3 linked regions of the Oryctolagus cuniculus genome follow. The protein of the gene in region 1 purifies or fractionates together with the protein of each later gene. This does not show direct contact. Links are inferred from orthologs where the notes say so. Each region holds a gene or a part of one and is shown in the gene's direction. Other genes may lie near its edges.

The links.
Region 2: the proteins of WWP2 (region 1) and PTPN14 purify together in Homo sapiens (affinity purification with mass spectrometry; 3 studies listed by BioGRID). This does not show direct contact. The link is inferred for Oryctolagus cuniculus from reciprocal best matches to the Homo sapiens genes WWP2 and PTPN14.
Region 3: the proteins of WWP2 (region 1) and RPAP2 purify together in Homo sapiens (affinity purification with mass spectrometry; 3 studies listed by BioGRID and IntAct, with this or other methods). This does not show direct contact. The link is inferred for Oryctolagus cuniculus from reciprocal best matches to the Homo sapiens genes WWP2 and RPAP2.

The regions. Positions count from the first base shown.
Region 1 is NC_091449.1:52,876,827-52,881,028, forward strand, and holds the start of WWP2 (NEDD4-like E3 ubiquitin-protein ligase WWP2), read left to right. Parts: upstream 1-1,305; 5' UTR 1,306-1,441; intron 1,442-4,202. UniProt on the Homo sapiens protein: E3 ubiquitin-protein ligase which accepts ubiquitin from an E2 ubiquitin-conjugating enzyme in the form of a thioester and then directly transfers the ubiquitin to targeted substrates.
Region 2 is NC_091444.1:28,672,170-28,675,816, reverse strand, and holds part of PTPN14 (tyrosine-protein phosphatase non-receptor type 14), read left to right. Parts: intron 1-3,138; coding exon 3,139-3,647. UniProt on the Homo sapiens protein: Protein tyrosine phosphatase which may play a role in the regulation of lymphangiogenesis, cell-cell adhesion, cell-matrix adhesion, cell migration, cell growth and also regulates TGF-beta gene expression, thereby modulating epithelial-mesenchymal transition.
Region 3 is NC_091438.1:78,238,407-78,242,053, reverse strand, and holds part of RPAP2 (putative RNA polymerase II subunit B1 CTD phosphatase RPAP2), read left to right. Parts: intron 1-2,359; coding exon 2,360-2,509; intron 2,510-3,647.

The DNA.
Region 1 (4,202 bases):
ACTCCTGGGCCACAGCAGAGAGATGAGTTGTATCCTAAACAGAGTGATCGTGAAAGGCTTTGCTGTGTGACAGCTAAGCAAACATCTGAGAGAGAGAGGGTGGGAAGTGGTCGTTACTGTCTCACTATATGGGGAAAGAGCTTTTCAGGCACTGGGAGAAGCAAGTCCAAAGGTCCTGAGGCCAGAGTGGCCAAAGGGCAGAGTGGGGGTGAGAGAAGAGAAATAAGAAGGGACTGTGGGGAGGGGAACCATGCGGGTGACCACCTATATTTCTAGCTTTCACTGCTTAATGCACCCTGCATGCTTTTTACTTAGTCCTCTTGCTCTTTGGTGAACACTTACTGAAAGCCCACCCCACAAGGAAGCCTTTCCTCACTCCTCTAAAGCAGAATTAGGAAAACGCCCGACAATGAAATTGGAGAAGCGTCAGTTTCGTGGCAGGGTTTAACAGGTTTAACGAATTAAGAGATGGCTGTATATTATTGAAAGGCAAGGGACTGAGTTCAACCAATTTCATTTGTGTGCATGATTGGATCCATCCAAATGCTAAGGCTCCCCCCACCCAAAAAAAAAAACAAAACGGGGTAATTAGGTTGCTAGTATTAATTTTAACCAATGGTAATTAAAAGTGAAAAACAGTCTTCATCCAACTTGTCAAAGCTGAGGCCCTGCGCCGTTAGTAAGGGATGTTGACATAAAATGTTCTTGCTAAGTTGTATGCACCTGCAGATGAAGGGAACAGGGGTTGGCTGGGCGTGATAGGGGGCATTTTATGCCCCCAGGCAGGGGCTTCGAAGCTGTTCTACTTCATGTCCCAGATGTTCCACGACGGACAGGTCTGTTGCTTCTACAGTCTAGAACCGCGCCTGGCACGTGGCAGGCATTGAGTCACCAGGATTATCAAACACAAATACAAGCGGCACAATCCAATGTGATTTTCAGATAATCTTAGTATAAATATATCCCATGTAGGATATTGGGCAGACACGGTTGTTTACCCGAAACTGAAATTTATCTGAGATTTCACTTTAATAACTTTATTAACCCCACTAAGGAGCTCAAATACTCGTGATTTGTTTGACCCAATTGAAAGAGGATCTCCTCGCACCTGTAAAATGGGTCTAAATCACAGCACGCGCCTCCCTAGCGTTGCTGGGCAGATAAAGCCAGCACGTGGCACCTGGCGAGCCCTCAGTTTATACGACTGCTGGGAAACAAATTCATGAGCGGCAAAAGTTTCGCCTTATACACACGGCCACAGGACCCGGGCCTCTTCGAGGCCAAAAGCTCGCAGGCCAGGCCTAGGTTGCCGGCACCTGAGAGCCCGGCCAGCCTCTTCCGGGTCAGGTGACCGCGCGCGGCCACGTGACCCGGCCCGAGTGCGGGCGGTGGAAGGCGGAAGTGGGAGAGGAGTTGGGCGCCGCTTCTGGGGCCGGGGCAGGTAGCGAGCGCGGGCGCGGCGGGCGCGGCGGGCGGGCGCGGGGCGCGGAGCGGGCCGGGGGCGGCGGGCGGCGCGCGGTGGGCTGGGGGCGGCGCGGCCCGGGCGCCGGGGGGCGGCGGCTTCCTGTGGGAGGGGCCTGGCGCGGCGGTTCCGGCCTCCGAGGAGGGGTGTCCCGGCTCCCGCCCGAGCGGGGTGGGCGCGACGCGGCCCGCGTGGGGCCGCTCCGAGGTGGCCGGCCGGGAGCCGGTGCTTCCGGGAGCGGCGCGGCGCGTTGGTGCCGGGGGGCTGGAGGGACAGGCATCGCGATCTCTGTGGAGGGAGCAGGGGAAGGGCGAGTTGGGACGGAGCTGGGAAGGGGGTGCCGAGATGGACATAGGGCGGGCAGGGCAGGGGAGCAGCCCGGGAGATGCCGCCTGAGCCCCACTGAGGGCGTCTTCCCCGCTGCGTCTTTGGCAGCGATGTTTCCCCGAGACTTGATTTCGGGCTCAGTCCATCTTTAAACTTCAGGAGGGATCACAGAATCTTGGTCGTCTTGCTCTCGTCACACCCACTTAGTCCCGCGGGCGTCGGGTTTCCACTTCTTGGGAACCTAACCCTTCAGGATCGCCTTTCTTTGGGGCTTTTCCCCCTTGATCAAGTCGTCTTCGAGGCTGAAGACAGAAAGCGTGGGCGCTCTGCTGTGGCTGCAGGAAGGTTTCAGCCTACGCTCTTGACCATGACCTAGCCCAGCACCGCCTCGGCCGGAACACCGGCTAGAGGACCGTGTACCTGTGTGCTAACGACTTCGGGTCTGGCTGTGGTTTAAATTATTCAGCTTCCCTTACCACGTGACTGCTTATCTTGACCAGCTGTAGCTAGGTAGAAGTCTGTGTCCTGTGCCTTAGAACTATGACCTGGCGCCTGATGTTGAGATTAAATACCCATGTCACAGCTGTTCATCTTCCTCTTTCTGTAAATGTTCACTGAATGTTTTGCAGAAGTGAGTCTCATGCGTGCACACACAAGAGCCAGAGTCGTTCAGGGTTACAAGTTAGAGAACAAAAGGACTTTACTAAATGTATGAGGTGTTCAGGTTTTTGAAGTGTTTGATGAGCATTTAGAAGTTAATTTTTGCAGCAGCCCTGTGATTTAGATGGGGAAAGGTCTTTTTTCCACGTCATGAGAAACAGACAGACTTAAAGGAGTCTTGACTTTTAAAACCAATGTGTTCTTTCTTGTTTACTGGTCTCTTCCTGCTGGACGTAAGAATCTTCAAGGGCAGATACCGTGTTTTATTTGGCTTCTTTGACCACTAGCCAAGTGCCTGGCATGTTGTGGGCACTTGGTCAGTGTTTGGCAATAAATGAATTTCTAAAGTCATACAGCTGTTAAGTGTTGGGCAAGGGATTTGAACCCAAGTCTTGGGTCTCTAGTAGGCAAGCTGCTGTTTTCTGTGCTGCTGGTCTATGTGAACATGATAGGCATAAAAGAAGGGCTTGGATCGGCTTCTCATCACTTAATGAGTACTTTCTCCTTTACCAGGAGCGTACGCCCACGTCTCATTTAATCCTCTCGGAGATCTTCTGAAGGCTGGGGTTGTCCCTGTCCCGCAGATGCAGAGACTGAGGCTTGCTGAAGCCCTTGCCTTCGATTCCAGAGCTAGTACATGACCCAGCAGCCACTCAGGCCCACACCTTCTGTTTCCAGACCATCCTTTTCCATTTATAGAAGTGATAGAAAGTTTTATTGAAAAAAGTTTTTTTTTTTTTTTTTTTTTTTTTTTGACAGGCAGAGTGGACAGTGAGAGAGAGAGACAGAGAGAAAGATCTTCCTTTGCCGTTGGTTCACCCTCCAATGGCCGCCGTGGCCAGCGCGCTGCGGCCGGCGCACCGCGCTGATCCGATGGCAGGAGCCAGGAGCCAGGTACTTTTCCTGGTCTCCCATGGGGTGCAGGGCCCAAGCACCTGGGCCATCCTCCACTGCACTCCCTGGCCACAGCAGAGAGCTGGCCTGGAAGAGGGGCGATCAGGACAGAATCCGGCGCCCCAACTGGGACTAGAACCCGGTGTGCCGGCACCGCTAGGCGGAGGATTAGCCTAGTGAGCCGCGGCGCCGGCCTGAAAAAAGTTTTTAAAGTACAAAAAGTATGATGCTTTAAAGAAAACATACTACGAATTAGAGAAAAAATTGTCCATGTGCAGTGTAACTGAGGACTAGAAAACCCGCTACTGCAGTGTCTTAGTCTGTGTGGTGCTGCTTAACTATACCATGGACTGGGTCGTTTGTAAGTGAGAGAAGTTTATTTGAATCATGGTCTGTAGGCAGGGAAGCCCAAGAGTTGAGGGACTGTGTCTGATGAGGGCCTTCTTGCTGTGTTGTAACACGGTGGAGGGCATCACATGGAGAGAGAGAGAGAGAGAGAGAACGAGAGAACATAAACACTAAACTGCTTTTCCAACAAACCTGTTCTTGCAGTAATGACATTAATCTACCCGTGAAGGCACGGCCCCCATAACCTAACCGCCTTTTAAAGGATCCCCCTCTCATCACCTGCACTGGGGGTTAAGCTTCTGACACAGGACCTTTGGGGAACACATTCAGCCACAGCATTGCCATGGCTGCCTCTTCCCAGGACAGTGCTCCTCCCACCAGTATTGCAGGGACCTGTTCCATGCCAGGCAGTTTCTAGAGTTGCAAGTAGCCTCATGGTGCTGGTGAGCCCTGGAGATACGCTGTAAGCATTCAGTCCACACCAGACTGGAAGACTTAGCATAGGAAAAAA
Region 2 (3,647 bases), on another chromosome or scaffold:
CTTTGGTTTGTGAAGGGCCTACGTGTCGGTTACCCCTGGAGACAACCCTGCCCGGAATTCACTGCAGGGGGAGTCAGGGCTGAGGTGATGAAGGACTTCTTTCCTCCTCCCTCTCTTCTGTGGGCTTAGAGAGGAGGGTGGCAGTGTGGCTGACTGGGAGACATCACCTGCAGGGCCAGTATCAGAAGCTTGTAGATGTCAGTCAGCTTTCCGTGGAGACAGGGGATACAGGCATCTGGCATGACCAGAAGTCGTTCATGGTCTCTGGAGTGGTGTTAAGATACCATTTGGGATGCCCATATCCCATATTGGAGGGTCTGCTGTGGGTCTCAGTTCCGCTTGCAATTCTAGCTTCCTGCTAATGTGCACCCCGGGAGGCAGCAAACCATGGCTCAAGGACTAGCATTCCTGCCACCCATGTGGGAAACCCAGGCTGAGTTCCTGGCCCCTGGCTTTGGCCTGGCTCAGTTCTGGCTGTTGTAGGCATTTAGGGGAGCAAACTAGCAGATGAGAGCTCTCTGTCTCTTAAAATTAAAAAAAAAAAATCCATCTCGGCCCTTTCTTTTGCTTTTTTTTTTTTTCCTCTTCTCTTCCTCTAGCCCCTTTCTTAAGGTACTTAACTGGTTGCTTCTCAGAGTAAAGAAACTTTGTTTTAGTCCTCTTCTCTCTTAAGCAAAATGTGTGAAAAAGCCCATTCCAATAGTAATCACCATTATAATGATTGCTTATAGAACAATCATGATGTGTGAGGCACTGTTCTAAGTCCTTGCTATCTGTTGACTCATTTATTCCTCAAAATCAACCTGTGATTATTTCCAGCTTACAGATACAGAATTGGGGTACAGAGAGGTTGCTGGTAGAACTTGGATGTGAAAATGGGCATCTCAAAGGATGAGATGGTAGGAAACCACTAATGTATTATAACCTGGAGCCCTGGTATCTCCATTGTCTCCTGGCTGGATGGAATCCTGTGACACAAAGTGTGAGCTTGAAAAAAACAAGACAATCAAGACTTTTTCATTGAATAAAACTACTTTTTTTTAAAAAAAAGCAGATAGCAAAGTTACCCTGCCTCTAGGGGAGGGTAAATCCCATTGGAAGTGCATAAATTGCAACCTGCTTGTATCCTGGTTTGTTTCTTTTTGCTTTTTGCTTTTTTTCCCCCCTTTCTCATCTGATCAGATCTGTTCATACCCCTCCTCTTCAGACAGTTGAATTTTTTTATTAGTTTATTTATTTAAAAGAGAGTTACAGAGAGAGGTAGAGACAAAGAGAGAGGTCTTCCATCTGCTGGTTCACTCCCCAGATGGCCGCAATGTCTGGAGCTGGTGCCAATCTGAAGCCAGGAGCCAGGAGCTTCTTCCAGCTCTCCCACATGGGTGCAGGGGCCCAAGAACTTGGGCCATCCTCTAATGCTTTCCCAGGCCACAGCAGAGAGCTGGATTAGAAGAGGAGCAGCCAGGACTAGAACCAGCGCCCATATGGGATACTGGCGCTTCAGGCCAGGGCTTTACCCCGCTGCGCCACAGTGCTGGCCCCCGACAGTTGAATACTTTTAATCATGATTTCTACTTTTTACCTTTTCTGTTTTCATCTTCCTCTGCTTGGCTAATTCTTAAATCTATAGTGAGAAAATGAATGTATTTTGGGTACAGAAGTGTGTTTTGTCAAGAGGTTGCCTTTCTCAAGTGTGTGTGTGTGTGTGTGTGTGTGTGTGTAAAGGACTCTGCACAATTAGAATGACCTCACTTTAGAAATACGTTTTTAATCTCTTTAGTTTCTTCTTTATAATTAGTATTTATTTGGATGGACCTCAGTGATGAAACTAGGTCTAGAGGAGGATTTTGGGAGTGGCTAAAAGAATTCCTGATTTTTTTTTAAAGATTTATTTATGTAAAAGGCAGAGTGACACAAAGAAAGAAAGAGATGGAGACAGGGGTGGTGGGAGGGGGAGACCTTCCTTCAGCTTTCACTCCTCAAATGGCCACAATAGCCAGGGCTGGGCCTGGCTGAATCCAGGAGCCAGGAACTCCATCCAGGTCTGCCACAGAGCTGGCAGGAATTCAAATACCTGAGCTGTATCTGGCGCCTCCTGGGTACATTAGCAGGGAGCTGAATTGGAGGTGCAGCAGGCAGGGCAGAATAGGCAGTGGGCATCGCAAGCAGCAGCTTCCCCCACTGTGCTGTAGCACCCGGCCGGAACTGCAGATCTGACTGTTGCTTGCCCTGGGTGCCGCTCAGAATGAGCTAGCCATGCAGTTGTTCTTGCTTCATTGTGTGTCTTCTGCCTTCTTGAGGTCGCAGCCTCTCAGGTAAAGAGACCTTGAGCATTGCCGCCAGAAAAGCAGCTCCACATACTCTGAAACCTCAAATCTATCACTTTTTTTTGTAAGATTTATTTTGTTTGAAAGGCAGAGTTACAGAGAGAGAGAGAGAGAGAGAGAGAGAGAGAGAGAACAAGATCTTCTATCTGCTGGTTCACTCCCCAAATGGCTGCAATGGCTGGAAGTGGGCTGATCCAAAGTCGGGAGCCGGAAGCCAGGAACTTCTTGTGGGTCTCCCACATGGATACAGGGGCCCAAGTACTTGGGCCATCTTCAGTTGCTTTCCCAGGCCATCAGCAGGGAGCTGGATTGGAGCAGCCAGGATTTGAACTGGCACTGTATGGGATGCTGGTGCCACAGGCAGTGGCTTTACCTACTACATCGCAACACTGGACTATGGCACAACGCTGGCCCCTAATCTATCTGTCTTTTAAAGTTCTTGCCTTCCTGGCCAAACCTCTAGGGCTGTTGATGAGCCCTGTGCAGGAGGACAGGTCCATCCGATGTGAGGCCTGTTGTGAATGCCTGATTTGAAAGCTCATGGCTAAATTGAAAACTTACCCAGACGATACCTGTTCCAAATCTGCATAGCTTTGTTTACGTTCAGGATTTCTCTTCATCATGCTCTAGAATGTTCTTCCCATATGCTGGCATCTCGTCTGAGATACTTTTGGTTTTTCTATGGAGTATGTGTGTGGACACCCTGGGATTTTATACTTTATGACTCATTTAAGTCTCCCCATGAATGTAAGGATGGACTTTATTAAAACAGGATGACCCAAAGGTTAACGTGCTTTTGTTTGACCTCTTGCAGACAGCATCTTTCATGGGAATGAAGAAGCCTTGTATTGCAACTCTCACAACAGCCTGGACTTAAATTATTTAAATGGCACCGTCACCAATGGCAGCGTGTGTAGCGTTCACAGCATCAACTCCCTCAACTGCTCCCAGAGTTTCATCCAGGCTTCACCTGTCTCCTCCAACCTCAGCATCCCTGGGAGTGACATCATGCGAGCTGACTACATCCCCAGCCACCGGCACAGCGCCATCATTGTGCCGTCTTACAGGCCCACCCCCGATTATGAGACGGTCATGCGGCAGATGAAGAGGGGCATTGTGCACGCGGACAGCCAGAGCCAATCTCTGCGCAACCTCAACATCATCAACACCCACGCCTACAACCAGCAGGAGGACCTGGTGTACAGCCAGCCCGAGATGCGGGAGAGACACCCCTACACCATCCCATATGCGTTGCAGGGGGGTTATGGAAACAAACTCCTGGGTCCTAGTGACCCAGTGACCCCAAAAAGCAAGGCAGTGCCC
Region 3 (3,647 bases), on another chromosome or scaffold:
TCACCTGAGTACCTAGCTTGGGCTGACCATTGGGAGATTGGAGTAGTCCTGTTTGCCAGTATTAACTGTCTGCAGACAAAGCTGATGAAGTGTAGGAGCTTGGCACTCCCTTCCCTAGCTGTCATCCATACAGGAAGATGAGGGAAGGAATGCACTACAAGTGATCTTCCCAAATTGAACTCTGTAGATTTCACCAAACTATTATTGGCATCACCTACTCTCTAGTTCTTGCTAAGATACCTGTAAGGATAAAGAGAATTTACCAGTGTCCTAGCCATCTTTGGACAATTCTGACAAAATTTTCCTCTTACTTCTGCCTTCTATATAAGATGGCTAAGCAAGGAAGAAATAAATCTTCCCCTCAGAAACCGTTTCCCATTCCACACTCACTACTGCAGAACTGACTTGCTCTGATTCCTTGAGCTTTTTATTGATGTTATACATCAATATATTATACAATATTATACAATATATTATACAGCGGCAATGGCTTAGGTTAAATATGCATCTGAAAGAGTTGTGGGAAGTGTAAGACTATTTGGGGGGAAAGAATTTTTCCCAAGAAGTTTTCCAAGAATGTACCTTGCAAGGACTCTACAAAGCATACTCTCTATAGAGACAAAATGGTCTTTAATCTTTCTAATTAGGCTATATATTGCTGACTTACAGGAGATCATGTTGACTAATCACATTTCAAGGAAAATTACTTTTAAGATTCTATTATAGGCAGTCAGTCATTCTTTTAAAAAGATTTATTTATTTATTTATTTATTTGAAAATCAGAGTTAGAGACAGAGAGGCAGAGAGAGAGAGAGGTTTTCCATCTGCTGGTTCACTCCCCAGATGGCTGCAATGGCCGGCGCAGCACTGATCCAAAGCCAGGAACCAGGAGCTTCCTCAGGATCTCCCACGAGGGTGCAGGGGCTGAAGGACTTGGGCCATAGCAGAGAGCTGGATTGGAAGAGGAGCAGCCAGGACTTGAACCAGCACCCATGTGGGATGCTGGCACTGCAGGTGGCAGCTTTACCCACTACACCAAAGTGCCAGCCCCAGTCATTCATTCTTTATAGGTATTTACTGGAAATTATTAGAGAAAAAAAAAGCACATTGTTTCTTATGAAGTTGGTATTAAATACCTTGTGAGATGTCATTCATTTACGTAGTGTTTCAAAAATAAAAATATTAGGGGACAGGCATGTGGCTCAGCAGTTAAGGCGTACTTGGTATGCCTATATCCTATTTCAGAGTGCCTGGCTCCACTTCCATTCCAGCTTCCTGTTAATGCATAGCCAGGAGGCAACAGGTGATGGCTCAAGTACTTGGGTCCCTGCCAACTATGTAGGAGACCCATATTGAGTTCCAGGTTTCTGGCTTTGACCTAGTCTAGCCCCTGCTGGAGGGCACTTGAGGACTGAACCAGCTGATGGAAGGCTGATCAGTTTTCTCTCTCTCTTCCCCTCCGTGGGTATGGGGTGGGGGTGGGGGGGCCCTGACCTTTGAAGAAAAATGAAAATAAATTTTAAATGTTTTAAATAAATAAAAATATAAATATTGAAAGGTGATCTTTGTTTATTGAATGCTTTTTTCCAAGTGACATAATCAATGTAAATAACATAAATAATTCCATATAAATTATATTTTTAAAATAATTCTCAGCTCTAAGTGCCTCTCCACACCACTCTTCCTCAAGTGGAATGAGTTCATTAATTTTCCCTTCTGAGCAGAGTTTTAATAGCTTTTGCTGCCATGATGAAGAACATGTCATAGATACAGGCTTTTGGACTTTTTTCCATACTTAATAATGTTTAATCTTTTTTTAATTTATTTATTTATTTATTTATTTTGACAGGCAGAGTGGACAGTGAGAGAGAGAGACAGAGAGAAAGGTCTTCCTTTTGCCGTTGGTTCACCCTCCAATGGCCGCCGCGGCCGGCGTGCTGCGGCCGGCGCACCGCACTGATCCGATGGCAGGAGCCAGGAGCCAGGTGCTTTTCCTGGTCTCCGATGGGGTGCAGGGCCCAAGCACCTGGGCCATCCTCCACTGCACTCCCTGGCCACAGCAGAGAGCTGGCCTGGAAGAGGGGCAACCAGGACAGAATCCGGCACCCCGACCGGGACTAGAACCCGGTGTGCCGGCGCCGCTAGGCGGAGGATTAGCCTAGTAAGCCGTGGCGCCGGCCCCAATGTTTAATCTTTTGATATTTTCCTGAGACTTCTCTGCTGCCTATTTTTCCTCTGGGGATTTTGTTGACTCACAAAGACCCCATTATCCTCACAAAATCTCTGTGCCCTGGTGAATGTGAGAGTCCTTAGCCCATCGCATTTCACAGATATGTGCCTTGTGTTTTGATTGTTTCAGACTGGCCCCGATTCTTGGCATTCAGAAGCATTCACGGGAAAATGCGGTGTTCACACAGTTTATAGCCACCCTGCTGGATGAATTACATTTAAAGAATGAAGACCTCGAAAGTTTAACCACCATATTTAAAACAAGCTGTCAACCAGAGTGGTGAGTTGGATTGTGTTTTACTTTAGTTTTGCCTATGTAGATGCATTTTTCATACTAGAAATTTTAAAAACCAGGGGCTCATTAGGAAGAACATGGTCTCCCTCTGTTCTTAGCTGCCTCAGCCACTCGCTGTCTACGCTCGTATTCTGCGTCCCATCCTGGTAGCTATTCCTCCTTTTCAGGCTCTTGCAGTTCTGGTTCTTGCAATCCAGGAAACTCCCCACTCTCAGTTTCATCCTCTAGCTCAAGCCATCTCACATGTTCTTCTTGATAAGTGGCAGTTTACTTGGACCCCACCACTGCACTGATGCACTGTGAACACCCTCATCCTCTGCCTCTTCCATGAAATCCCCTCCTATCCAGCCTATACTTAGTCCGCTCCTATGTAGATAAGCAGGTGAACTCACAGTTCTGGCGTTGTTAAATCTTGCCTCTTTCAGAACTGCCCACCACAATGGACCTTCTTTATCCTGCCTTCATTGTAACCCTCCATCTCTTCCTTCTCATTTCACACACTCCCGACTGCTTAGATAGGAACCACTTTGATGATCTAACTGAAGGAATTCGTCTTAAAATACAAATGAGACCTTCTCAGGGAACTTTCCTTTAAAAAAAAAAAAAAAAGCTTTAAACTTTTTTTAAAAAGATTTATTTATTTGAGGCCGGCGCCGCGGCTCACTAGGCTAATCCTCCGCCTAGCAGCGCCGGCACACCGGGTTCTAGTCCTGGTCGGGGCGCCGGATTCTGTCCCGGTTGCCCCTCTTCCAAGCCAGCTCTCTGCTGTGGCCAGGGAGTGCAGTGGAGGATGGCCCAGGTGCTTGGGCCCTGCACCCCATGGGAGACCAGGAAAAGCACCTGGCTCCTGGCTCCTGCCATCAGATCAGTGCGGTGCGCCGGCCGCAGCACGCCGGCCGCGGCGGCCATTGAAGGGTGAACCAACGGCAAAAGGAAGACCTTTCTCTCTGTCTCTCTCTCTCTCACTGTCCACTCTGCCTGTCAAAAAATAAAAAATAAAAAAAATTAAAAAAATAAAAAGATTTATTTATTTGAAAGTGAGAGTTAGAAAGAGAGATATCTTCCATCTGCTGGTTTACTCCCTGGACAGGGCTGGCCAGGCCAGTGCCAGAAGCCAGGAGCT